Linked DNA regions of Anolis sagrei. The protein of the gene in region 4 purifies or fractionates together with the protein of the main gene of each other region. This does not show direct contact. Links are inferred from orthologs where the notes say so. Each region holds a gene or a part of one and is shown on either strand. Other genes may lie near its edges. The genes, in order: NUFIP2, CNOT1, FAU and RC3H1.

The links.
Region 1: the proteins of RC3H1 (region 4) and NUFIP2 purify together in Homo sapiens (affinity purification with mass spectrometry; 3 studies listed by BioGRID, with this or other methods). This does not show direct contact. The link is inferred for Anolis sagrei from reciprocal best matches to the Homo sapiens genes RC3H1 and NUFIP2.
Region 2: the proteins of RC3H1 (region 4) and CNOT1 purify together in Homo sapiens (affinity purification with mass spectrometry; 5 studies listed by BioGRID, with this or other methods). This does not show direct contact. The link is inferred for Anolis sagrei from reciprocal best matches to the Homo sapiens genes RC3H1 and CNOT1.
Region 3: the proteins of RC3H1 (region 4) and FAU purify together in Homo sapiens (affinity purification with mass spectrometry; 3 studies listed by BioGRID, with this or other methods). This does not show direct contact. The link is inferred for Anolis sagrei from reciprocal best matches to the Homo sapiens genes RC3H1 and FAU.

What each region holds. Positions count from the first base shown.
Region 1 is NC_090031.1:34,092,597-34,099,570, reverse strand, and holds the start of NUFIP2 (FMR1-interacting protein NUFIP2), read right to left. Parts: upstream 3,021-6,974; 5' UTR 2,810-3,020; coding exon 2,491-2,809; intron 1-2,490. UniProt on the Homo sapiens protein: Binds RNA.
Region 2 is NC_090028.1:1,661,148-1,668,535, forward strand, and holds the start of CNOT1 (CCR4-NOT transcription complex subunit 1), read right to left. Parts: upstream 3,001-7,388; 5' UTR 2,840-3,000; intron 1-2,839.
Region 3 is NC_090032.1:22,373,344-22,380,938, forward strand, and holds the start of FAU (ubiquitin-like FUBI-ribosomal protein eS30 fusion protein), read left to right. Parts: upstream 1-4,583; 5' UTR 4,584-4,666; exon of another isoform or gene 4,667-4,667; intron 4,668-7,595. Other genes in the region: MRPL49 (large ribosomal subunit protein mL49), read right to left, coding at 2,063-2,187, 2,671-2,836, 4,251-4,325.
Region 4 is NC_090024.1:129,897,796-129,904,636, reverse strand, and holds the start of RC3H1 (roquin-1), read right to left. Parts: upstream 3,008-6,841; 5' UTR 2,702-3,007; intron 1-2,701. UniProt on the Homo sapiens protein: Post-transcriptional repressor of mRNAs containing a conserved stem loop motif, called constitutive decay element (CDE), which is often located in the 3'-UTR, as in HMGXB3, ICOS, IER3, NFKBID, NFKBIZ, PPP1R10, TNF, TNFRSF4 and in many more mRNAs.

The DNA.
Region 1 (6,974 bases), on a different chromosome or scaffold from region 4:
CTATAGGAACCCCATTTAAAGCCTCAAAGATACTCAAGTGGGGGGGGGGGGAGCCCCAAACCATCCCACATATAGGGGAAAGAACCCTATAATCACTCCGCCCAAAGTCCCTTTTCCCCTCATCTGGAAGGTACACAGAAAAGTGGGGGGACCCCTTGAAAGGAAGAAATCCTATCTCTTTGGAGAGATTCCCAAGAAGGGGGACCTCTAAAAGTCCCCTTTTCCCATTTGGAAGATACACAGACAAAAAGGGGGACCCTTGAGAGTCTCTTTGGAAAGTTAAGAAAAAAGCGGGGTCCCAAGAGAAACGGGGACCCATTGAAAGTCCTTTTGGGGGGGTACCCAAGAAAACTTCTCTTTCCATTGGGAAGGTTCCCAAAAAGTAGGGGACACCCTAAAAGTGTTAGAATCCATCCCTTAAAGAAATGCAAAACAGCAACAATGTCCTCTCAAAATATGGGGGTGCTGTTGAAGGATCCCCCCCCCAAAAAAAACACAGACTTAAAGCTCTGGAAAGGTAATTAAGTTATCCAAAAATATGGGGTGTTGTTGAAGAGTCTCCCCTTTCCCTGGCTCTGTTCCTTCGCCTTGAAACAGCAACAGAATCCTCCCAAAATATGGGGGTGCTTTTGAAGGATCACCCCACAAAACCCAGACTTGAACCTCTGGAAAGGCAATTAAGTTATCCAAAAATATGGGGTGTTGTGGAAGGGTCTCCCCTTTCCCTCTCTTCCTTGGCCTTGAAACTGCAACAATGTCCCCCCAAAATATGGGGGTGCTGTTGAAGGACCTCTCCCCCAAAAAAACAGACTTAATCTTCCTCTGGAAAGGAAATAAGTTGTCAAAAATATGCGGTGTTATAGAAGAGTTTCCCCTTTCCTTGGCTCTCTTCCTTGGCCTTGAAACAGTAACAGTGTCCCCTCAAAATATGGGGGTGCTGTTGAAGTATCCCCCATAAAAAGACTTGATCTTTCTCTGGAAAGGCAATTAAGTTATGCAAAAATATGGGGTGTTGTTGATTCGTCTCTCCTTTCCCTGGCTCTCTTCCTTGGCCTTGAAACTGCAACAGTCCCTCCAAAATATGGGGGTGCTGTTGGAGGACCCCCCTCCCAAAACCAACCTTCAAGCTCAGATGTAGCTGGGAATAAACGTTATCCAAAAATATAGGGGAGTTGTGGAAGGATCTCCCCTTTCCCTGGCTCTCTTCCTTGGCCTTTAAACAGTAGCAGGGTCCTCCCAAAATATGGGGGTGCTGTTGAAGGATCCCCCAAAAAACCAGACTTAATCTTCCTCTGGAAAGGAAATAAGTTGACCAAAAATATGGGGTGTTGTGGAAGGATCTTCCCTTTCCCTGTCTCTCTTCCTTGACCCTTAAACAGTAACAGGATCCTCTTAAAATATGGGGGTGCTGTTGAAGGATCACCCCCCAAAAAACCCAGACTTGAAGCTCAGGAAAGGCAATTAAGTTATAAAAAATATGGGGGGTGTTGTTGAAGGGTCTCCCCTTTCCCTGGCTCTCTTCCTTGGCCTTGAAACTGCAACAGTGTCCCCCCAAAATATGGGGGTGCTGTTGAAATATCCCCCCCAAAAAACCCAGACTTGAACCTCAGGAAAGGAAATAAGTTATCAAAAATATGGGGTGTTGTGGAAGGATCTTCCCTTTCCATGTCTCTCTTCCTTGGCCTTGAAACAGTAAGTGTCCCCCCAAAATATGGGGGTGCTGTTGAAGTATCCCCCCAAAAAATCAGACTTGATCTTCCTCTGGAAAGGCAATAAGTTATCCAAAAATATGGGGTGTTGTGGAAGGGTCTCCCCTTTCCCTGGCTCTCTTCCTTCGCCTTTGGCTCTATTTCCCCCCTTTCCCCCCTACTTAGGGTACCCCAAAACCTTCCCTCCATCCATAGAAAACCTAAAGACCCCCCAAAAAATATTTCAAATCCACCCTCCCCCAAAAATACCATTCCTCTTCCCTTGTGCTTCCCTTTGGGTGGGGCGAGACTTGGGAAGGCGCGTGGAGAGGCGCCTTTTGGGCCTGGCTTTGCACCCCTTTCCCGACCCCAAAGCGGGCACCCCATCCTTTAGACATCCCCCCAAGAGTCCCTTGTACCCATAGGGGGCGAATTTCCCTTTCCAGACCCCCCAAAAGACGGTATTTTTCCCCCCACAACCACCTTTTCCTGTGCGCCTTGGCCGCGCCTAGCCAAGGCGCAAAAGAGGGGAAAAAATGGAGAGGGGGATAGGGGGACCCTCTTCGTGACGTTCCCACGCCTCGCGTGTACACCCTAGCGACCCCATTCCAACGGGATCGTGTTCCCCATCGTTTTATGTATAAACACCCTAAAAATCGTTTCGATGGGGTGTTGTTAAGTACCCCAAAAACCGTGCGTAAAAAGGCACCTCTCCAAAAAGGGACCCCTCTCCTTCGGAGAGGGGTCCCTTTTTGGAGAGGTGCCTTTTTACGCACGGTTTACTCCCCCGCGGAAAACCCACCTGTTCTCCTTCGGGTCGGCTCCTGGGCGGCTTGGGGGTTCCCCCCAAAGCTCCCCACTGTCCCCCCGTTCCTGGGGTCGTGTTTGGGGTTCCTCTGTGGGGCCAAAGGGGCCTTCCTCTCATTCCCATTGGCCCCATGGTTGCTGCTGCTTCCTCCTCCAATTCCTCCTCCTCCTCCTCCTTCGTAATGCTGGTGATGCTGGTGGTGGTTGTGGTTGTAGTAGTAGTAGTGGTGGTGGTGGTGATGGTGGTGGTGGTGGGGATGATGGGAATGGTGGTGCGATGCAGAGGAAGGAGGGAGAGGGTGCTGCTCCTCCATTGAAAAGCCCCCCTCTTGGCTCGCTCTCTCTCTCTCTCTCTGCCACAAAATAGCAAAAATGTATCAACACAGATACACAGAGGAGTAACAGTAGCAGCAGAAGAAGAAGGAGAAGAAATAGGAGGAGAAGAAGGAGCAGTTCCTCGTTGGCTCGGGAGCGCGCGCAGGGCCCAAGACAAGCGCGCCCCCGCCTGATTGGCACCTCTCTCCCTCCCCCTTCAGACCAATCAGAAGCCTCTCCGGTCTCTCTTTAGGTCCCACCTCCTTCTTTCCGCTTTCCCAAGGCAAGGCAAGGAAGGAAGAGAGGAAGGAGGGAAGAAGGAGGGAGGGAGGGAGTGCGCGTGCCCGCCCCTTCCTCCTCCTCCTCCTCCTCCTCTTCTGAGAAAGGCAGACGTGGAAAAAGCTCTGCTTCTTCTGGAGCCTTCGGGGACTTTCGCGGGGTGGCTCCTTCTTTCCTTCTTTCTCTTTTCCTCTCCTTCTTTCCTCTCTCTCTTTTTCTTTCTTTCCTTCCTCTTTCACTCTCTCCTCCCCCTTTCTCTTTCTTTCCTTCCTCCCTTTTTCTCCCCTTCCTCTTTCTTTTCTCTCTTCCCATATTTCCAGTCTCGCCTTCTTCTCTTTCTTTCCTTCTCCGTTCCTCTCATTTCCTTCCTCTCCTTCTTTCCTTTCTCTTTCCTTTCATCTCTCTTCCTCCCCTTTCTCTTTCCTTCTCCTCTCCTTTCTCTTTCCTTTCATCTCTCTTCCTCCTCTTTCTTTCCTTCTCCTCTTCCCCTCCTTCTTTCCTTTCTCTCTTTCCTTCTTCTCTTTCTCTTTCCTTCCTTATCTCTTCCTCTCCTTTCTCTCTTTCCTTCTCCTCTTCCTCTCCTTCTCTTTCTCTTTCCTTCTCCTCATCCCCTCCTTTTTTTCCTTTCTCTCTTTCCTTCTCTCTTCCTTTCCTTCTTCTCTTCCTCTCCTTTTTCTCTTTCCTTTCTTCTCTCTTCCTTTCCTTTCCCTCCTCTCCTTCTTTCCTTTCTCTTTCCTTCCTCTCTTCTTATCCTTTCCTTTTTCTCTTTCCTTCTTTCTCTCTTCCTCTCCTTTCTCCTTTCCTCTCCTTCTTTCCTTTCTCTTTCCTTCCATCTTTCTTCCCTTTCTCTTTCCTCCTCCTCCTCCTCTTCTGAGAAAGGCAGACGTGGAAAAAGCTCTGCTTCTTCTGGAGCCTTCGGGGACTTTCGTGGGGTGGCTCCTTCTTTCCTTTTTTTTCTCTTTCCCTCTTTTTCTTTTCCTCTCCTTCTTTCCTCTCTCTCTTGTTTTTCTTTCTTTCCTCTTTCTCTTTCTCTCCTTCCTCCCTTTCTCTCCCCTTCCTTCTCCCTTCCTCTCCTTTTCTTCTTCCTCTCTTCCTCTCATTTTTCTCTTTCTCTTTTCCTCTCCTTCTTTCCTTCTTCTCTTCCTTTCCTCTCTCTCTCTTGTTTTTCTTTCTTTCCTTCCTCTTTCACTCTCTCCTCCCTCTTTCTTTCTCTTTCTTTTCTTCCTCCCTTTCCCCTTCCTTCTCTCTTCCTCTCCTTTTCTTCTTCCTCTCTTCCTTTCCTTCTCCTTCCTTCATTCTCTCTTCCTCTCCTTTCTCTCTTTCCTTCCTTCTCTTTTCCTCTCCTTCTTTCCTTTCTCTCGCTCTCCTTTTTCTCTCCCTCTCCTCTCTCTCTCTCTTGTTTTTCTTTCTTTCCTTCCTCTTTCACTCTCTCCTCCCTCCTTCTTTCTTTCTCTTTCTTTTCTCTCTTCCCATATTTCCTGTCTCTCTTTCCTTCCTTCTCTCTTCCTCTCCTTCTTTCCTTTCTCTTTCCTTCCTTCCCTCTTCCCTTTCTCTTTCTTTCTTTTCCTCTCCCTTTCTCTCTTTCCTTTCTTCTCTCTTCCTTTCTTTTCTCTCCTCCTTTCCTTCTTTTCTTTCTCTTTCCTTCCTCTCTTCTTATCATTTCCTTTTCTCCTTTCTTCCTTCTCTCTTCCTATCCTTCTTCTCTTTCTCTTTCCTTCCAACTCTCTTCCTCCCCTTTCTCTTTCCTTCTCCTCTTCCTCTCCCTTCCTTTCTCTTTCCTTTCTTCCCTCTTCCTCTCCTTCTTTCCTTTCTCTTTCCTTCCATCTTTCTTCCCTTTCTCTTTCCTCCTCCTCCTCCTCTTCTGAGAAAGGCAGACGTGGAAAAAGCTCTGCTTCTTCTGGAGCCTTCTGGGACTTTCGTGGGGTGGCTCCTTCTTTCCTTTTTCTCTCTTTCCTCTTTTCCTCTCCTTCTTTCCTCTCTCTCTTGATTTTCTTTCTTTCCTTCCTTTCTCCCTCTCCTCCCTCTTCCTCTTTCTTTCCTTCCTCCCTTTTTCTCCCCTTCGTCTTTCTTTTCTCTCTTCCCATATTTCCAGTCTCGCCTTCTTCTCTTTCTTTCCTTCTCTGTTCCTCTCATTTCCTTCCTCTCCTTCTTTCCTTTCTCTTTCCTTCCATCTCTCTTCCTCCCCTTTCTCTTTCCTTCTCCTCTCCTTTCTCTTTCCTTTCATCTCTCTTCCTCCTCTTTCTTTCCTTCTCCTCTTCCCCTCCTTCTTTCCTTTCTCTCTTTCCTTCTTCTGTTTCTCTTTCCTTCCTTATCTCTTCCTCTCCTTTCTCTCTTTCCTTCTCCTCTTCCTCTCCTTCTCTTTCTCTTTCCTTCTCCTCATCCCCTCCTTCTTTCCTTTCTCTCTTTCCTTCTCTCTTCCTCTTTTTCTCTTTCCTTTCTTCTCTCTTCCTTTCCTTTCCCTCCTCTCCTTCTTTCCTTTCTCTTTCCTTCTTCTCTTCTTATCCTTTCCTTTTTCTCTTTCCTTCCTTCTCTTTTCCTCTCCTTTCTCTCTTCCTCTCCTTCTTTCCTTTCTCTTTCCTTCCATCTTTCTTCCCTTTCTCTTTCATCCTCCTCCTCTTCTGAGAAAGGCAGATGTGGAAAAAGCTCTGCTTCTTCTGGACCCTTCGGGGACTTTTGTGGGGTGGCTCCTTCTTTCCTTTTTATCTCCTTTCCCCTCTCTCTTGTTTTTCTTTCTTTCCTTCCTCTTTCACTCTCTCCTCCCTCTTTCTCTCCTTCCTCCCTTTCTCTCCCCTTCCTTCTCTCTTTCTCTCCTTTTCTTCTTCCTCTTTTCCTCTCCTTCTTTCCTTTCTCCTACTCTCCTTTTTCTCTCCCTCTCCTCTCTCTCTTGTTTTTCTTTCTTTCCTTCCTCTTTCACTCTCTCCTCCCTCTTTCTTTCTTTCTTTCCTCTCTTTTTCTCCCCTTCCTTTCTTTTCTCTCTTCCCATATTTCCTGTCCCTCTTCCTTTCCTTCTTTCCTTTCTCTTTCTTTCCTTCTCTCTTCCTCTCCTTCTTCTCCTTCGTTTTCTCTCCTCCTTTCCTTTCTCTTTCTTTCCTTCTTTTTCTCTCCTTCTTTCCTTCCTTTCCTTCTCCCTTTTCTCTTCCTTTCCTCTCTCTCGTATTTTTCTTTCCTTCCTCTTTCACTCTCTCCTCCCTCTTTCTTTTTCTTTCTCTTTCTTTCCATCCTCCCTTTTTCTCCCCTTCTTTTTTCTTTTTTCTCTTCCCATATTTCCAGTCTCTTCTCCCCTCCTTCTTTCCTTTCTCTCTTTCTTTCCTTCTCTCTTCCTTTTCTTCTCTTCCTTTCCTTTCTCTTTCCTTCCTTCTCTCTTCCTTTTCTTCTCCTCTTCCTCTCCTTTCCTTTCTCTCTTTCCTTCCTTCTCTCTTCTGCTCCTTCTTCTCTTTCTCTTTCCTTCCTTCTCTCTTCCTCTTCTTCTTTCCTTTATTTCCTTTCTCCCTTTTTCTTGCCTTCCTCTTTCTTTTCTCTCTTCCTCTCCTTCTTTCCTTTCTCTTTCTTTCCATCTTTCTTCCTTCCCTTTCTCTTTCCTTCCTTCTCTTTTCCTCTCCGTCTTTCCTTTCTCTTGCTCTCCTTTTTCTCTTCCTTTCCTCTCTCTCTTGTATTTTTCGTTCCTTCTTTCACTCTCTCCTCCCTTTCTTTCTTTCTTTCTTTCCTTCCTCCCTTCCTTCTCTCTTCATCTCCTTCTTCTCTTTCTTTCCTTTCTTCTCTCTTCCTCTCCTTTCCTTTCTCTCTTTCCTTCCTTCCTCTCCCTCTCTTTTTTCTTTCTCTCTTCTTCTCCTTTGTCACTTTCCTTCCTGCTCTCCTCTATTTCCTTCCTTCTCTTCCCATCTCTTT
Region 2 (7,388 bases), on a different chromosome or scaffold from region 4:
ATAGAAATAAAGTAAATAATAAATAAACCCCCTGTATTTAAAGTACCCCTGACAGATGGCCATCCAGCCTCTGTTTAAATGCTTCCAAAGAAGGAGCCTCCACCGCACTCCGGGGCAGAGAGTTCCACTGCTGAACGGCTCTCACAGTCAGGAAGTTCTTCCTAATGTTCAGATGGAATCTCTTTTCTTGTAGTTTGAAGCCATTGTTCCATGTCCTAGTCTCCAGGGAAGGAGAAAACAAGCTTGCTTCCTCCTCCTGAAGCTTTATCCCCAATCCTGTCTCCAAAACAAGCCAGAGTTTCCAAAATCCAATTCTCACATAGACAGAAAATGCGGTGAAATCTTCCAAACAGGGGCAGAGACAACAAAGGAAACACCACAGGGGTGTCCACACTTCCCTATGCTATCCAGAGAGAGAGAGAGAGATACACACACACAAACATTGAGATAAATATATATGGAAGGATATATGTGTATGGGCATATAGGGATATATATATTGGTATATATACACATATGGATATATATATGTATATATGAATGTTAAAAATATATGGATGGATATATATTGGACCAACTGCTGCTCTGAGATCAGAATGAAGAGAGGGGCCATGAAGGCAGTTCCATCTTGCCTCCTGCACTGTGCGTATAATATACAATACAATATATTGGATATACATATAATATTGATAATATTATAATGTAATACAACATATTAATAATAAAGAAGGAGGGAAGGAAAGAAGGAAAGAGAGAAGGAAGAAAAGAGAGACAGAAGATAAAGAAAAATGGGGAAGGAAAGAGAGATAGAGAAGGAAGGAAGAAGAGAAGGAGAAGCAGGCAGGAAGGAAGGAAAGTGGGAGTGAAGGAAGGAAGAAGAGAAAGAGGGAGGGAAAGAAAAAGGGGGAAGGAAGGGAAGTTAGAGAAGGAAGGAAGGAGAGAAGGAAAGAAAAAAGGGAAAGAGGGAAGGAAGGAAGGAAGGGGGAAGATGTAGAGAAAGAAGGAGAGAAGGAGAGAAGGAGAGAAGGAAGAAAAGAGTGACAGCAGAAGAGAAAGAAAAGGGGGAAAGGAATGAAAAAGGTAGAGAAGGAAGAAGAGAAGGAAAGAAAGAGGGAGAGAAGGAAGGAGGGAAAGAAGGAGAGAAAGAGGGAAGGTTGGCCACAGCAACGCGTGGCGGGTACAACTGGTGTGTGTATAATATATACATACATACACCCACACGTAAATGGATATATACAAACATGGATACACACAGGCATATGGATATACACACACACATATGAATATATGTATATATACGTAAATATACACACATATATACAGACACACATACATATGGAGATAGATAGACAGATAGGTATGGGGGTATAAATAAAGTTTTATTATTATGATTATAGGATTGTGTATATATTGGACATCAACTTTATTTGTAACCCACCCTATCTCCCCAGGTGGACTCTGTATATGTGTATATCCATGTTTATGTGTGTGTGTGTGTGTGTGTGTGTGTGTACACACACACATATACATGGATATATGCAGACATATGGATACACACAGGCATATGGATATACACACACACACATGAATATACATATATGTATATATACATAAATATACAGACACACATACATATGTGTGTATATATACATACACACACACACACGTACATGGATATATACAGACATATGGATACACACAGGCATATGGATAAACACACACACACATGAATATACATATATGTATATATACATAAACATACATACACACATACATACATACACACACGCATATATATACATGGATATATACAGACATATGGATACACCCAGGCATATGGATAAACACACACACATGAATATACATATATGTATATATACATAAATATACAGACACACATACATGTGTGCATGTGTGTGTGTGTATATATATATACATACACACATATATATATACACATATAGACACACACACATATATACACGGATATATACAGACATATGGATACACACAGGCATATGGATATACATACACACATATGAATATATATACGTATATACATAAATATACAGACACACACATATATACATGGATATATAGACATATGGATAAACACAGGCATATGGATACACACACACATATGAATATATATATATATATATATATATGTATATATAAATATACAGACACACACACACATATATACACAGATATATACAGACATGTGGATACACACAGGCACATATGAATATATATACATATATGTATATATTCATAAATATACAGACACACACACATATATACATGGATATATACAGACATATGGATACACCCAGGCATATGGATATATATACATACATAAATATACAGACACACATACATATGGAGATAGATATGGGTATTTGTTGCTGGAGCTGTCCTGACACACATATGAATATACATAGATATATGTATATATACATAAATATACAGGCACACATACAGATGGAGATAGATAGATATGGATATTTGTAGCTGTTCTGAAGAAATGCCCCTGTATACGAGATCCCAACACTTACTGGGCCGTCCTGGTTCGTAATTCGGGACCTGTTCCCTTCCCTTCCAACTTGGGCCCTCCAGGGGGGTTTGGACTCCAACTCCCACCATTCCTAACAGCCTACCGGCTGTTAGGAATGGTGGGAGTTGTAGTCCAACCCCCCTGGAGGGCGAATAACCCGCCCGGGAGGCGCTTCCGCGAGCGAGGCCTGGGCCTGCACTCCCGCCGGGGCCTCGATTGACTCCCAGACCGGGCTGTGGTACCTCCAGAAGGCGGGGGAGGCGCTCCCTGAGGCCGGGCTTACCTCGAGCGTGCCGGGGCCTGCCTTCTTTGCCTTCCCTCGCTTCCTCGGTCTCCTGAGCCGCTCTCCCTTCCTTCCTTCCTTCCTTCTCCGCTCGCTCCGAAACAAAATGGCGGCCGGAGTCGCGCGCTCACGTCGCGGCCCTTTCTCTTCCCGTCCTGCCCCGCGGCGGGAAGAGGCAACGGGGAGGAGCCTCCACCGGCGGGATCCAATGGCCTCGCGCTCCTTAAGCCCCGCCTTCCGGATGGCATCCAATCACGGACCGACATTGAGGGAAAGCACTTTTATTTTTTTGCCCTCAGCGCTGAGGAGGCGGGGAAAAGGTGGAAAGAACCCGCCTCCCGGTTCGGATTGGTTGCTTCACGTCCTCGCTGCCCAATCGGAAGGCAGGGCTCTGAGGGAGTTTGTGAATCCGGCCAATGGGATGACAGCGCGGTTGTCTCGAGGCGGGAGCAGAGGAAAACACCAGTCCGTCCTTTCGCCTCAATGAATGGGGCACAACTTTGGCTCTTTCGGACTCCAACTCCCAGAAGCCTCAGCTGCGTTAGATCAATGGGCAGGAATTCTGGGAATCGTAGTCCAAAACAATTAGAGGCCAAAGGCTTGGGAATCACTCTAGATCTGAGCCATTCCTTGTTGATTTTGGGTCAAGGGTAATAATAGCAATATTGTAATGTATTAATATAACTTTTCTGCCACCAAGGAAGGCCTCTTGAGCTAGTTGGATAAATATGCACCTGATTTATCCATATATATATATATATATACCATATATACCCAGCCCTATTTACCTCTCCAAACCTATTCTCCCCTATGAACCATCAAGATTATTAAGATCATCTGGAGAGGCCCTGCTCTTGGTCCCACCTGCCTCGCAAGCGCGTCTGGTGGGGACGAGGGACAGGGCCTTCTCGGTACTTACTTACTTACTTACTTAGGCGATCCCTCGTTGGACGAGTAAGATGGTCTTCCATCATGGGTTTCCTTGTGGGTCCGTATGTGGCTGTGGAGCCCTATTCTTGCTCTGCATCTTCTTCCGCAGTGAGGAGGGCATTGGGTTCCAGGTGGAAGGCGGTCCCGGTCGAGGTTGGCTTGACGCGCTTTCCTCCTGGCACGTTTCTCTCTCTCACCCTCCAGTTGTGCCTCCTCAAATTCTGCAGCACTGCTGGTCACAGCTGACCTCCAGCTGGAGCGCTCAAGGGCCAGGGCTTCCCAATTCTCAGTGTCTATGCCAGAGTTTTTAAGGTTGGCTTTGAGCCCATCTTTCAATCTCTTTTCCTGTCCACCAACATCCCGTTTTCAGTTCTTGAGTTCGGAGTAGAGCAACTGCTTTGGGAGACGGTGGTCGGGCATCCAGACAACGTGGCCGGTCCAGCGGAGTTGATGGCGGAGGACCATCGCTTCAATGCTGGTGGTCTTTGCTTCTTCCAGCACGCTGACGTTTGTCCGCTTGTCTTCCCAGGAGATTTGCAGGATTTTCCGGAGGCAGCGCTGATGGAAACGTTCCAGGAGCTGCATGTGACGTCTGTAGACAGTCCACGTCTCACAGGCATAGAGCAGGGTTGGGAGGACAATAGCTTTATAGACAAGCACCTTAGTATCCCTACGGATGTCCCGGTCCTCAAACACTCTCTGCTTCATTCGGGAAAATGCTGCACTCGCAGAGCTCAGGCGGTGTTGTATTTCAGCGTCGATGTTGACTTTGGTGGAGAGGTGGCTGCCAAGGGAGCGGAAATGGTCCACATTTTCTAATGTTACACCATTAAGCTGTATCTCTGGCATTGGAGAGGGGTTGGCTGGTGACTGCTAGAACAGCACCTTGGTTTTCTCAATGTTCAGTGACAGGCCGAGCTTCTCGTATGCTTCTGCGAAGGTGTTTAGAGTGGCTTGTAGATCTTCTTCTGAATGCGCACAGACGACATTGTCATCAGCATACTGGAGTTCTATAACAGCTGTTGTTGTAACCTTGGTTTTGGCTTTCAGTCTGCTGAGGTTGAATAGCTTGCCACCTGTCCGATAGATGGCAAGCTTCTCGGTGGTGGCCCCTCGACTCTGGAATTCTCTCCCACCGGAGATCAGAACCACCCCGTCTATCCTGACTTTCAGAAAGACAGGCATTCGACGAGTGAGCCAATACCCTGAGTGTGCTGGTACAGCTGTGCCAGGAGCTCCATTTCTGTTTGCTTTTGCATTTAATGTTTATTGCAGTCCTAAGTTTCAGGGACCCTGCAGATAGGTGGCTTCTTTTATTTATTTATTTATTTATTTCTGCTACTTAGACCCCGCCCTTCTCACCCCCGAGGGGGGACTCAGGGCGGCTTACAAAAAGAAGGCACAATTCGATGCCCTTATCCAAATACATACATATATAAAACGATTACCATAATTAAGCAATTAACAGATTAAAAACATCAATATATAACACAATAGCACAACAATAAACAATCTCATGGTCAGTGTTTCGAGTTCCATAAGTCCAATAGGTTTCGTCATTATTTGCCCATCATTATGGTCTTTCTTTTTAGCTGCCAGAGTTTCCAAAAGCCTGGTCCCACATCCAGGTTTTCAGCTTTTTCCTGAATGAGAGAAGGGAAGTCGCTGATCTGATCTCCCCGGGGAGTGAGTTCCACAGGTGGGGGGCCACCACTGAGAAGGCCCTGCTCCTCGTCCCCGCCAATCTCACTTGTGACAGTGGTGGGGTCGAGAGCAGGGCCTCCCCAGAAGATCTTAAACTCTGAGGTGGGATGTAGAGGGAGATCCGTTCGGACAGATACACTGGGCCGGAACCGTATAGGGTTTTGTAGGTCAAAACCAGCACCTTGAATTGTGCTCGGAATTGGATCGGCAGCCAGTGGAGCTGACGCAACAGGGGGGTGGGATGCTCCCTGTACGCCGCTCCGGTGAGCAATCTGGCTGCCTCCCGTTGGACTAGTTGGAGTTTCCGAGCAGTCTTCAAAGGCAACCCCACATAGAGTGCGTTGCAGTAATCTAGTCAGGATGTGACAAGAGCATGGACCACTGTGGCCAGATCCGACTTCCCAAGGTACGGGCGCAACTGGTGCACAAGTTTTAATTGTGCAAAAGTTTTCCCGGCCACTGCTGAGACCTGGGGCTCCAGGCTCAGCGATGAGTCCAGGATCCCTCCCAAGCTGCGAACCTGCATCTTCAGGGGGAGTGTAACCCCGTCTAACACAGGCTGTAACCCTATACCCTGTTCGGCCTTACGATTGACCAGTAGGACCTCTGTCTTGTCTGGATTCAATTTCAATTTGTTAGCTCTCATCCAGTCCGACACAGCAGCCAAGTACCGATTCAAGGTCTGGACAGCCTCCTTTTGGCTGCAATCATAGGGCAAGCCACCTGTCAATAATAGTTAGGTTCCCTGGTCCCGCCCCTTTTTGAGTTTTGGAGGGAACAGGAGCCATTTTGAGTTAGTTCTCACAGAGAAGCCTTTCGCACAGGACATAGAACGAAGTGGCTCCTGTAGAAAAGCTTCGTCTTTTACAGCTTGGCCGGGGTTATACAGCCCTACGGCTTGCCCAGGAGACATACAGCCACAGCTTGGCTGAGGGACTCCAGCCGGCCATCACAGCAACCTGAACTCCTTCTTTTTCCCTGGAGGTCTACAAAGCTCTGTTGAGGCAAGGGTCGCTCGCGGAAGCCAGACGCAGTTGGTACCGGGTGCAGGGGCTCCACGTCAACAGAGGCAAGTACAGACTGCCCAGATTAGAAGTTAAGCATTTCCCCATTAGTTAGTATACAGTTATGAAGATAGTGCCTGTTCCCAGTGAACAAGATTGAAAGAGCCTATAGACTGTTAAGAAAACCGTTAAAGTACCTGTTTGTTCCTTAATAAAAGAACTTTGTTGGACTTACTTTAAGCCTTCTAAAGACTCTGTTTGGGGGAATCTAAGGGCCTCTAATCTGAGGCAGCCCCGGCGTCCCGTTGGGCACACAGAATTTATGTCCTGTGTACAGTCTAATGCACAGGCCCAGCGTGCGACAGCACACTGAGATATGGATGGAGGATGATGAACAACGATTTTAGTGTGACGACTGACCATTGTAGTTATTGAATGTAATTGCTTTTTTAATGTTTTACTGTAATATGTATTTTGATGTTTTATTGACTGTATGTGATATTATGGTTGGAAACCGGTCAAGAGAGGTGAGAAGGTCGGTATACAAAACTTGTAAATAAATAAATAAATAAGTGTGTGTGTGTATCATATATATATATATATATATATATATATATATCCAATGGCGTGGCGTGTGTGTGTGTATATATATATATATATATATATATATATATATAATACACACACAACATTCAATTTCCTGGAAATCTTTAGAAAACAGGCTTCATAAATCAGGCTTATAGGCTTCATAAATCCGCCTTATATATGAATATATAATATATATTCGTATATATTCGTAAATCAGGCTTATAAGCATCATAAATCCGCCTTATATACAAACATATATTATATATTCATAAATCAGGCTTATAAGCTTCATAAATCCACCTTATATATGAACATATATATAT
Region 3 (7,595 bases), on a different chromosome or scaffold from region 4:
AGATGATGATGGGATGTGTAGTTTGGGACAAGGCCTTGAGAACAGACAGTTCCATCGAATGCAGTAGTGGCAATTACAGGGGGAAATCACATACTGAATTGCAGAGGCCGGTCATAAATTCAATAATATATTATATTATTCTATTTTTCACATACTGAATTGTAGAGGCAGGTCATAAATTCAATAATATATTATATTATTATTCTATTCTATTTTTTCACATACTGAGCTGCAGAGGCAGGTCATAAATTCAATAATATATTATATTATTATTATTATATTATTTTTCACATACTGAATTGCAGAGGCAGGTCATAAATTCAGTAATATATTATTCTATTATTTTTCACATACTGAATTGCAGAGGCAGGTCATAAATTCAATAATATATTATTATTATATTATTTTTCACATACTGAATTTCAGAGGGAGGTCATAAATTCATTAATATATTATTCTTATTATTTTTTCACATACTGAATTGCACAGGCAGGTCATAAATTCAATAATATATTATTATTCTATTCTATTTTTTCACATACTGAACTGCAGAGGCAGGTCATAAATTCATTAATATATTATTCTATTATTTTTCACATACTGAATTGCAGAGGCAGGTCATAAATTCAATAATATATTATTATTATATTCTATTATTTTTCACATACTGAATTGCAGAGGCAGGTCATAAATTCAATAATATATTATTATTCTATTATTTTTCACATACTGAATTGCAGAGGCAGGTCATAAATTCATTAATATATTATATTATTATATTATATTATTTTTCACATACTGAATTGCAGAGGCAGGTCATAAATTCAATAATATATTATATTATTATTATTATATTATTATTATATTATTTTTCACATACTGAATTGCAGAGGCAGGTCATAAATTCATTAATATATTATATTATTATATTATATTATTATTATATTATTTTTCACATACTGAATTGCAGAGGCAGGTCATAAATTCAATAATATATTATATTATTATTATTATATTATTATATTATTTTTCACATACTGAATTGCAGAGGCAGGTCATAAATTCAATAATATATTATATTATTCTATTATTTTTCACATACTGAATTGCAGAGGCAGGTCATAAATTCAATAATATATTATTATTATTATTATTATTATTATTATTATTATTATTTTCACATACTGAATTGCAGAGGCAGGTCATAAATTCAATAATATATTATATTATTATTATTATATTATTATTATATTATTTTTCACATACTGAATTGCACAGGCAGGTCATAAATTCAGTAATATATTATTATTATTATATTATCTTTTGCATACTGAATTGCAGAGGCCGATCATAAATTCATTAATATATTATATTATTATTATTATATTCTAATATAGCCCTATTATTCTATTCCATTCTCACATTATTGTATTACATCCTCATATTACTCTATTCTATTATGTTCTATTTCATTCTTGTATTATTAATTTCTAATCCATCCCCAGAGGTGAAACTGTCTTTCGGGTCAACAGCAAGCTAGACAAATGGTTGGGAGCTTACTCCGGCCCGGGCTGTTTTCGAACTCATGACCTTCCAGTCAGTAGTGATTTTAATGTAGCTGATGCCCAACCAGCTGCGCCACAACTCGGTATTGTATTTTATATACACATATATAAAATCATATAGTTTGCTGTGTGTCAAAGGCTTTCGTGGCCAGAATCCCTGGCTGTCTGGCCTTGTTCCAGCAGCATTCCCTCCTGACATTTTGACCACATCTATAGCAGGCATCCTCAGAGGTTGAGGAGTCTGTTGGAAATTACGAAAATACCTGCAGAATGTCCAGGGTGGGAGAAAGAACTCTTTGTCTACTGGAGGCAAATCTGAATGTTGCAATTGGCCAGCTTGATTAGCATTGAATGGCCTTGTAGCTTCAAAGCCTGGCCTATTGATAGTGACTTAATTCTGCTTTTTTTTAATCAAACGGAGCACATCTATTGGGGCGCCTAAACATCTCCGGAGGGGGATCAGGGGGCCACTTTACCCCTCTGAAGGGCCACTTTACCCAGATGTCCCCTTCGATCTTCCGGATGACGGTCATCTTCCTGCACCCGTGGGTGACGTCCGTGTAAACGGGGATGTTGTGCATGCGTGACCGGCGGACAAAGAAAGGCAGGTCAGGAGGCGGATCTGGAGGGAGGAAGGGAGAAACTGTCTCACCAGTCATATTGCCATATAATACACTATACTAATATATACTAATATATATAACATAATAATACATATAATACAATATAATACTACTACTAATAATACAATATTACATGTAATATTACTAATAATACTGTAGTACAATATGGGAATGTATGCTACTAATATTGTGCTATGCTAATAATATAATATTTTGTATTTACATATAACTTGTAAGGCGCTCAGAGTCTCCCCTTTATTTGCCGTAAATAAATAAACATAACAGCCTTATTTTCGCAAAACAAAACCTTAAAAATATACAAAATACTTCTTATCTCCGCATTTCCTTGCATGCTCCAACAAAAACAAAACACTTTTCTTTACAAAAACGACAAAATCAAAATATTGAAATAGGATGAAATATTGCAATTCATAAGAAGTAAAATTCTTGAAGCAAAACTGGAGAAACGAATATATAAGAACCTTGTGGGGGTCTCCACCCGGAGGGTGTGGGGTATTTCTCGTGCTTTGGTGGCTCCGGGACTCGGGTGGGAGGGATGAGCCTCTCCACAAAGCGATACTCCTCACGGGACTCCTCGATGCCGGGGTATCTGGGCTCCAAAGAGGCGGGCTCCGTTGACACCTGGCTCTGCAAGAAGGGAAGGAGAGCACAGGCAGGGGCTGAGTTTCTAACTTGGGGGGGGGGGGGAGGCTGATTGCTCAGTGATGGAAGGAAGGAAGGGAAGGAGGAAGGAAGAAAGGAAAGATTGAAGGAGAAAGAGAGGTAAAGAAGGAGGAAAGAGTGAAGGGAGAAAGAAGGAAAGGGGGGAAAGGAGGAAGGAAGGAAAGAGAAAAGGGAGGTTTTGAAAGATGGAAGGAGAAAGAGAGAGGGAAAGGATAAGGAAAGGGAGAAAGGAAAAGATGGAAAGATGGGGAGAGGGAAGGAAGGGAAGGAGGGAGGTAAGGAAGCAAGGAAAGAGAAGGAAGGAATTAAGGGAAGGAGGAAGGAAGTATGAAAGGGAAGGGGGAAAGGGAGGACACAGAAGGAAGGATGAAAGGGAGGGAGGAAATAGGGAAGGAGGGAGGAAAGGGGAATGAATGAATGGAGGAAATGAAAGAAGAAGGATGGAAGGAGGAAGGAAGGAGGAAAGGAAATGGGGAAAGGGAGGACAGAAGGAAGGAAGAATGAAAGGGAAGAAGGAGGGGGGCAAGTGGGAAGGAAGGAATGAAGGAAAGAGGAAAGAAGGATGAACGGGAAGGATAAAGGAAGGAAAGGGGGAGGGAGGGAGGAAGCAAGGAAAGAGAAGGAAGAAAGGAAAGGGGGGAAGGGAAAGGGGGAATAAGAGGGAAGGGGGAGGAAAAAGGAAGGAAGGAAAGAGAAGTAGTAAAGGGGGAAAGGGAAGGAGGGAGGAAAGAAGGAATGAATGAATGAAGGGAAGGGAGGATGGATGAAAGGGAGGAAGGGAAAGATGGAAGGAGAGAGGTAAGGAAGGAAGAGAAAAGGAGAGGGAAGGGGTGGTAGGAAAAAAGGATGAGAGGAAGAGAAAGGAAAAGAGGAAAGGGAAGCAAGAAAGAAGGGAAGGAGGAAGGATGAACGAGGAAGGGAAGGATGGATGGGGAAAGGGAAGGAAGAAAAAGAAGAGAGGGAAGGAGGCGGAAAGAAGGAAGGATGAAAGGGAGGAAGGGAAAGAGGGTAGGAGGGAGGGAAGAAGGCAAGGAAAGAGGAAGCAGAAGGAAGGGAAAAGCAGGAAGGAGATGGATGAAAGAAGGAAAGAGAAGGAAGAAAGGGATGAATGAAGGGAAGAAGGAAGAAAGAGGGAAAGGGAGAGTGAAAGGAAGGAGGGAGAGAAGGAAGGAAGGAAGGAAGGAAAGAGAGGAGGAAGGGAAAGATGGAAGGGGAGAGAGGGAAGGAGAAAGAAGGAAGGGAGGAAGAGAAAGATGGATGGAAGGAAGGGAAAGATAAAGGAAAGAGAGAAGGAAGGAAAGACAAAAGGGAAGAAAGGAGGAGGGAAAGAGGGAAGGAAGGGAAAGATAAAAGGGGAAAGAGGGAAGACTCCCTTTACCCGCCTGATGCTGAGGAGGAGGAGAAGCCTGGGCCCAGTTTCCCTCCTCGCCAAAGACAGCGCCAGCGCCGCCATCTTGGCGCTTCCCCGTCGCGCCGCTTGATGACGTCTGCCTCTGCGCAGGCAGCCAGGCGATGACGTTTGGCACCGCCCCCGAAGCAGAGAGGAGAGAGCCGGGCGTCACCAGCCAAGTCTCGCGACGCTTGGCATGAACTCTCCTTAGGGACGGCTGGCCGGGCAGATCTCGCGAGACTTGGTAAGCCAACGCCGCCGAAGAGGAGAGGAGAGAGGAGAGTTGGCGTCACTGCGCCTGCGCGTACCTCCCCGTCAGAGGCCCGCCCCCTCTACTTCCGGCTTCTCAATTCCGACTTCCTTTTCTCTCTGGCCTCCATCTTGGCGCCTCGCGTGGAAGGAAGGTGAGCCCCCCCTCAGGAAAGAGAAAGAGGCCTCCTAGTTATATTCTTCTTATACTTATGTCAATCAAGTATACACAAATGTATTTATGTTATTTACTATTTGGAGACATATGTGTATCTCAATATTTATATATGCACATTTTAATATTTTATTTAATTATATAGACACATATTTATATTATATATATATATATATATGAAAATTATGGATACACAAATATATTATTTACTATTTGGAAAGTGTGTATCTAAATATTTAATTATATAGACACATATTTATATTGTATTTAATTGTATTTAATTATATAGACACATATTTATATTTTATTTCATTATATATGCACATAATATATATGAAAATTATGGATACACAATATATTTATATTATTTACTATTTGGAAACGTGTGTATTTAAATATTTAATTATATATGCACACATATATTTAATTTAATTATATGTACACATATTTATATTATATATATAATATAATATAAGGCCTTCTCCCCTTCGGTCTCTCTGTCTCATATTTACATTCTTCTTATACTTATGTGAATTAAATATATACAAATATATTTATATTATTTGCTATTTAGATATACGTGCCTGTATCCAAATATTTAATTATATGTACACATGTTTATATTATATATATTTGAATATATGAAAATTAAGGATACACAATATATTTATATTATTTACTATTTGGAGATGTGTGTATCTCAATATTTAATTATATATACACATTAATTTTATTTAATTATATGTACACATATTTATATTATATATATATTTATTTATGAAAATTATGGATACACAATATATTTATATTATTTACTATTTGGAAATGTGTGTGTATCTAAATATTTAATTATATATACACATATTTATACTATATATATATTTATGAAAATTATGAATACACAAATATATTTATATTATCTATTTGGAAACGTGTGTGTATCTCAATAATTATATAGACACATATTTATATTTTATGTAATTATATAGACACATAATATATATATGAAAATTATGGATACGTAAATATATTTATATTATTTACTATTTGGAGATGTGTATGTGTATCTAAATATTTAATTATATATACCCATATATTTTATTTAATTATATTTAATTATATGTACACATATTTATATTATATACTTATTTATTTAGAAAAATTATGGATATGCAATATATTTATATTATTTACTGTTTGGAGACGTGTGTGTATCTAAATATTTCATTATATATACACATTTTTATTTTATGTATACACATATTTATATTATATTATATATATATATATATATATATATATATATATATATATATATATGAAAATTATGGATAATAATAATAATAAACTTTATACCCCACCACCATCTCCCCAAGGGCCTTGGAGCAGCTTACATGAGGCCCAGCCCAACAACACAGCAATAAAACAGGAAAGCAATAAACAAAAACGATACAATTAGTATAAATCACATATAAACAATAACACACAAAGATTTAAAAACCTATGGCCAGGCGAAATGTGTTAGTTTAAATTTAAAAAATAAATGCTGGACATGAACAAGGTAGGATATATAGAATCATAGAGTTGGAAGAGACCTCCTGGGCCAGTCCAACCCCATTCTGCCAAGAAGCAGGAATATTGCACTCAAATCACCCCTGACAGATGGCCACCCAGCCTCTGTTTAAAAGCCTTCAAAGAAGGAGCCTCCACCACACTCCGCGGTAGAGAGTTCCACTGCTGAACGGCTCTCACAGTCAGGAAGTTCTTCCTCATGTTCGCGTGGAATCTCCTCTCTTGTAGTTTGAAGCCATTGTTCCACATCCTAGTCTCCAGGGAAGCAGAAAACAAGCTTGCTCCCTCCTCCTCCCTGTGGCTTCCTCTCACATATTTATCCCTGTCCCTCATCATATCTCCTCTCCGCCTTCTCTTCTTCAGGCTAAACATGCCCAGCTCCTTAAGCCGCTCCTCATAGGGCTTGTTCTCCAGACCCTTGATCATTTTAGTCGCCCTCCTCTGGACACATTCCAGCTTGTCAATATCTCTCTTGAATTTTGGTGCCCAGAATTGGACACAATATTCCAGATGTGGTTTAACCAAAACAGAATAGAGGGGTAGCATGACTTCCCTAGATCTAGACACTAGGCTCCTCTTGATGCAGGCCAAAATCCCATTGGCTTTTTTTGCCGCCACATCACACTCCTGGCTCATGTTCCCCTTCCTCCCCACAAGGACTCCAAGATCTTTTCCACACGTCCTGCTCTCGAGCCAGGCATTGTCCCCCATTCTGTATCTTTGCATTTCATTTTTTCTGCCAAAGTGGAGTATCTTGCATTTGTCACTGTTGAACTTCAGTGACAAATGCAAGGAGGGTTTTAAAGAAGTGAGGGGAGCGCAATCCAACGAATAGTTAAAGTGCATTCTGAGGACATTTTGCTGGGAATAATAATAATAATACTTTATTTATACCCCGCTACCATCTCCCCAAGGGACTCGGTGCAACTTACATGAGGCTAAGCCCACAATACATCAATACAAGCAATAACAGACACAATACAAAGCAATTAAAATAAATCTCATACACAAATAGCATTTATTTCCTTATTCTGGGAAGGCACACTGGAACAGCCACGTTTTCAGGCTCCTCCCAAAGACTGCCAATGTTGTGGCATGCCTGATATCCCTGGGAAGTGAATTCCAGAGATGGGGGGCCACCACCGAGAAGGCCCTCTCCCTCGTCCCCACCAATTGTGTGTGCGAAGGGGGCGGGAGCGAGAGCAGGGCCTTTCTGGACAATCGAAGAGGTCGTGTGGGTTTGTACACAGAAATGCGGTCACGCAGGTAGGCGGGTCCCAAACCGTTCAGGGCTTTGTAGGTAAGAATCTGCACCTCTGGGGTCAAGCCAGCCTTTT
Region 4 (6,841 bases):
ATTCTTGAAAACCACTGGTGGTCCATGGATCACAGGTTGGAAACCATTGGTGTAAAATATGGCATACTCCCCTGTCCAAGATATTGTAAAATGGGGAAAGGATGTATACTTATGGACTTTGATGATAAATAAAAATAAATTTAAAGAGTAGCTCACACAGGGCCCCCTAATCCCTTACTCAGGCCCCTTCCACAAAGCTATATAACCCAGAATATCAAGGCAGAAACTCCCACAATTATCTGCTTGAACTGGGATATCTGAGTCCACACTGCCATACAACCCAGTTCAAAGCGGAAAATGTGGAATTTTCTTCAGCTATGTGTAAGGGGGCTCAGAAGCAATGCTCACCAGAGCCATGGTAGACCTTTTTCTCCCTTCTGTTTACTTAGGCCACAATACTCACAAGCAGTTAGGGCCCTTTCCACACTGCTGGATAAAAGCCCACATTTTCTGCTTTGTACTGGAATATATGACAGTGTGGACACATATAATTTAGGGCCCTTCCACGCAGCCCTATATCCCAGAACATCAAGGCAGAAAAATCCCACATTATCTGAGTGTAGACTCAGATAACCCAATTCAAAGCAGGTACTGTGGGATTTTCTGACTTGATATTCTGGGATATAGGGCTGTGTGGAAGGACCCTCAGAATATCAAGGCAAAAAATCCCACAATATCTGTTTTGAACTGGGTTATCTGAGTCCACACTGCCATATAGGAAATAATTCCCAGCAAAATGTCCTCAGAAGCATTTTAACTACTCGTTGGGTTGCTCTCCCTTTATTTCTTTTAAAATCCTCTTACCAGATACATCCTACCTCTGTTCATGCCCAGCGTTTATTTTTAAAATTTTAAACTACTGGCCCGGCCATAGTTTTTTAAATCCTTGCGTGTTATTGTTTATATGTGATTTATATTAATTGTATTGTTTTATTTGCTTACTGCTTTTTATTTTATTGATGTGTTGTCGGGTTTGGCCTCATGTGAGCTGCTCTGAGTCGCCTCGGGGAGATGGTGGCGGGGTATAAATAAAGTTTTATTATTATTATTATTATTATTATTATTATATACTAGCCGTCCCCTGCCACGCATTGCTATGGCCCAGTCTATATATATGTGTGTTTTGTATGTGTTTATATGTGTGTATATATTTGTGTATCTGTGTATATGTGTGTGTGTATATATATATAGATAGAAATATAGATATGGATAGATATGTGTGTGTGGGGGGGGTATGTTTGGGTGTATATATGTGTGGGCATATGTGTATATATGTGTGCATATATTTGTGTGTTTATAAGTGCATATGTATATTTACGCAAAAAGCACTGGCCATCCACAAGAAGATGGAACCAGAGAGAGGAGACCTTGCTGCCATCAACAAAAGTCCAGCTTAAAAACTTAATATGGACATGCCACTAGTTTTACCTACCCACGCCGCTGCCCAAACCCTATTTTAAGGAATTAATCAATTTTTAATCTTTTAATTTTTTTATCTTGTAATTGCACAATCATTTAGGAGTGGGTTGACAGGCCAGTAGGCCGGGATGCCTTGTATTCATATATGGTTTTACTGTATGTATGGGCAAGTGTGTATGTTTTGCATGTTTTGATATGGTCAAAATTGACTATAAAGAATCAATCAATAAAGAATTGTTGGGTTATATGTATATTGTGTGTATGTGTATGCTTGTCTTTATGCATACTTGTGTTTATATATGTGTATGTATGTGTGCATGTGTATATAGGTGTGTGTATATAGATGTGTGTGTGTGTATATTTGTGTGTGCTTGGGTATAGATAGACGTATGTGTATGTATGTGTGCATATGTATATGTATTTGAGTGTGTGTGTATATATATATATGGTGTATTTTGGCTGTTTTTAAGTCTGTTCTGCTGAGGGTTTTTTGTATTTTTAGTGGTGATGAAAACTCATTGGACTGTTAGGCGTATTATGTCAAAAATTGGTGTCAATTCATCTAGTGGTTTCTGAGTTATGTTAATCCCACAAGCGAACATTACATTTTTATTTATATAGATTCCAGTTCAAAGCAGACAATGTGGCGTTTTATTCAGTTGTGGAAGGGGGCTTTGCTTTGTAAATCAGAATATCAAGGCAGAAAATCCCAGATTATCTGCTTTGAACTGGAATATATGTCAATGTGGGATGATATTCCAGTTGAAAAGAGATACTGTGGGATTTTCTGCCTTGATGTTCTGGGTTATAGGCCTGTGTGGAAGGGCCCTTGGAGAAAATATCCCAAACGTTGTCAATTATAAGCTTGATTTATGCCAAAGCAATCTGCCATCATGCCAAACACGCCTGAGATCCTTGGTTTAATGTATTTTTTTTCTACCCAATGTAGACAAATCCACACCTCTTTCAAGAGAAAGGATTAAACAGCCGGGGGAAGAAGTCTAACACCTGCCACCACCCCCTTCCCCCCCCCCCCTCAGTTTGTTGAGAAGACACAGCGCCAGGGAAGGAGGCAAATCGAGCTCGGCAAAAGCCTGCGGCCTAGAGACAAGGAGGGGGCAGAGCAGAGGCGAGGCCTGGCTGAAGCAGGCGCCCTGAAAGGAGGGACGGGGCCCGGTCTTGCCCCCGAAGGCAGGAGCGGAGGGGGAGGCGCGAGTAGGCCGGAGCCTCCGCCCTATTGTTCTGCCCAGGCTCCCTCTCTCTCTCTCTCTCTCTCTCTCACCTCACGGCGGCGGCAGCTCCTCTCAGCTGCGGAGCACAGGCGCGGCCGTGGCGCCCACCTCGTCTTGGCCCAGGAGCAGCGGCAGCAGCAGCAGCGAGCTCTCCTCGGCCCCGGCCGCCTCTCCCCTCCTCTGGCCCTCGGCGGCGGCGGCGGATGCGTCGGCCAGGGCCGCCTCTGCAGCAGGGGCCATCTTGGGTGCCTCCGCGCTTCCTTCCCTCAGCACCACCGCCACCAGCAGCAGCACCAGGCCCGCCTCGCCTCCGCGGGCGTCGCGGCTCATGCGCGGCTCTTCCTCCCCCCGCCCTTCCTCCCTTCCTTCCTTGCTTCCTGCTGCCGAGAGGGGCGGGGCCAGGCCAGGAGGCACTCCGCTTCCGGGTTTGCGCAGGAAGGCGCCCCGAGTGGCCTTCTTCAGCCAGGCCGCAGTGGCTTTCCTCTCAAGCCCCCCACACTCTCAAGCAGGGCCCAGGCACTGTACTAGGCCCAAGGCTCCTCACTCCCTCAGGCATGATACCCTGAACTCAAGCCAAGGCAACTCCCTCCCTGTTATTTATACACTGAACTCAACCTAATGCAACTCCCTCCCTCAGTTACTGTACACTGGACTCAACTCAAGGCAACTCTCTCCCTCAGTCATGTTACACTGAATTCGACCCAATGCAACTCCCTCCCCCAGTTATTACACACTGAACTCGACCCAAGTATCAAAATGTACTCAACCCAAAGCAACTCCCTCACTCAGTTATTATACACTGAACTCAAGCCTATGCAACTCTCTCCCTCAGTCATGATACACTGAACTCAACCCAATGCAATTCCCTCCCTCAGTTATACACTGAACTCAAGCCTATGCAACTCGCTCCCTCAGTTATACACTGAACTCAACCCAATGCAATTCCCTCCCTCTGTTATTAAACACTGAACTCAACCCAATGCAATTCCCTCCCTCTGTTATTAAACACTGAACTCAACCCAATGCAACTCCCTCCCTCAGTCATGATACGCTGAACTTGACCCAATGCAACTCCCTGTTATATACTGAACTCAACCCAATGCAACTCTCTCCCTCAGTTATGATACACTGAACTCAACCTAATGCAACTCCCTCCCAAAGTTACTGTAGACTGAACTCGACCCAATGCAACTCCCTCCCTCAGTTATTATACACTGAATTCAACCCTATGTAACTCCTTCCCTCAGTTATTATACACTGAACTCAACTCAATGCAACTCTCTCCTTCAGTCATGTTACCCACTGAACCCGACCCAATGCAACTCCCTCCCTCAGTTATTTATACATTGAACTCAACCCAGTGCAACTCCCTCCCTCAGTTATTACACACTGAACTCAGTCCAATGCAACTCCCTCCCTCAGTTATTTATACATTGAACTCAGTCCAATGCAACTCCCTCATTTATACATTGAACTCAACCCAATGCAGCTCCCTCCTTTTATACCTTTTTTTGCCATGTCAGGAGCATCCTGTTGTGAGAGAATTGGCCGTCTGCAAGGACGTTACCCAGGGGATGCCCAGATGATTTTGATGTTTTAGCATCCTTGTGGGAGGCTTCTCTCATGTCCCTGCATGAGGAGCTGGAGCTGATAGAGAGAGCTCATCTGCCTCTCCCCGGATTCGAACCTGCGACCTGTCGGTCTTCAGTCCTGCCGGCACAGGGCTTAAACCCACTGCGCCACCGGGGGCTCCTTTTACATTGAACTCAAGTCTATGCAACTCTCCCTCAGTTACTGCACACAGAAGTCAACCCAAACAACTCCCCCACTCAGTTATTGTACACTGAACAGGCATTCGACGAGTGAGTCAACACCCTGAGATATGGATGGAGGATGAAGAGCAACGATTTTAGTGTGACGACTGACCATTATAGTTATTGATTGTAATTGCTGTTTTAATGTTTTACTGTAATATGTATTATGATGCTTTATTGATTGTATGTGATATTATGGTTGGAAACCGGTCTGAGTCCCTCAAGCGAGGTGAGAAGGTCGGTATACAAAACTTTTAAATAAATAAATAAATAAACTCAAGTCTATGCAACTCTCTCCCTCAGTTACTGTACACTGAACTCAACCCAATGCAATTCCCTCCCTCAGTTATTACACACTGAACTCGACCCAATGCAACTCCCTCCCTCAGTTATTTATACATTGAACTCAACCCAGTGCAACTCCCTCCCTCAGTTATTACACATTGAACTCAACCCAATGCAACTCCCTCAGTTATTACACACTGAACTCGACCCAATGCAACTCTCTCCCTCAGTTATGATACACCAAACTCAACCTAATGCAACTCCCTCCCTCAGTTACTGTACACTGAACTCAACTCAATGCAACTCTCTCCTTCAGTCATGTTACCCACTGAACTCGACCCAATGCAACTCCCTCCCTCGGTTATTTATACATTGAACTCAACCCAATGCAACTCCCTCCCTCAGTTATTTATACATTGAACCCAACCCAATGCAACTCCCTCTCTTAGATATTTATACACTGAACTCAACCCAATGCAACTCCCTCCCTCAGTTATTACACAATGAACTCGACCCAATGCAACTCCCTCCCTTAGTTATTCTACACTGAAGTCAACCCAGTGCAACTTCCCTCAGTTATTACACACTGAACTCAACCCAAGGCAACTCCCTCCCTCAGTTATTTATACATTGAACTCAACCCAATGCAAAACCCTCCCTCAGTAATTTATACACTGAACTCAACCCAAGGCAACTCTCTCCCTCAGTCATGATATGCTGAACATGATATGCTGAACTCGACCCAATGCTACTCCCTCCCTCCTTTGATGCAATTCTTGAGTATTGTTGTCAGCCCAGTAGCACATGTTTTGTTTGTTGACGGATCTACACAAATTAAAATGGGCTTCATCACTAAAAAAACAATAGCGTCCTCAGGAATGACTTCGAGAAGAACCTCACACGGAATCCTCCGAGAATTGAAGTCACGTTCAGAAAGTTCCTGCACAATCGCCATCTTGTAAGGATCAAAATGAAGATAATCATGAAGAATTCTCCTCACAGAACGATTGGGAAGTCCAAGGGCAGACACATGTTTGCGCGCAGAACGCCGTGGTGTTCGCAACATTGAAACTCTCACTGCCTCAGTGTTCTCAGGTGATCTAATGGGCCGAGGGACTCTAGTTCTTCGTCTTGACGCACTTGCAGTTTGTTTGAATGTAGTGACCCACGTCACAATTGATTTCCGGTCCGGTCCGGGACAGGGGCCAATGGGGCTAAATTAAAGTGATTCCGAAAGGCGCACTGGGTTGCAATCACAGAACATCCGCTCGAAAAGTAGGCCTCAATGGCAAAAGCATAATCCTCACTGTTCCAACACATGATGGCGACTGAACTGTTAGGAAAAATCTTTACACTCCCGCCTCTTGGACGAGACCACTAGCGCTCCGCTACATCTTCAACCGACTGAATGGCACACATTTTAAAAAAGGAAGTTATACCCTTTACTTGTAAGCATAACACAGAGAGATCTGAAAACACATCTGAAAAGAGGTAGGTTGTAAGGTATAATAATGGCAGCCAGTGGAGCTGTTGCAACAAAAGAAGTTGTATGGACCTTGTAGCTAGCCCTAGTTGGCCATCTGGCTTCAGTGCTTTAAAGCAACTGAAGTCTCCGAACACTCTTTGAAAGTGGGTCCTTGCAAAGCGTGTTACACTAATCCCACTATGATGTAACTGAGGCATGTGTCACTGTGACTAGATCTGACATCTCAACAAATGGTCGCAGCTAGTGCACAAGCCTTAATGTGCACTTCTTGCCACTGCTGAAATCTGAGCTCCCAGGGTCAGGGTTGAATCCAGGAGTACGGCTATGCTGCAGACCTGCACTCTTACAGAGAATGCCGCCCATGAGGCTTGCATCCTTCCATGACATTGCTTGAGTCAACTACTTCCCCATCTCACTATTTTTGGTTTGATATTATGCAACCCCCCCCCCCCCCACACACACACACTGTATTGCAGGCATTACATTGTTTTACTTATGATAAAATGTAATACAGTAATATCAACCTCATAGTACACAAGGGGCCATATGTTTTCTAATTTAAAAAAAACATATGAAAATAACTTTATATTTTGCATATACATGCA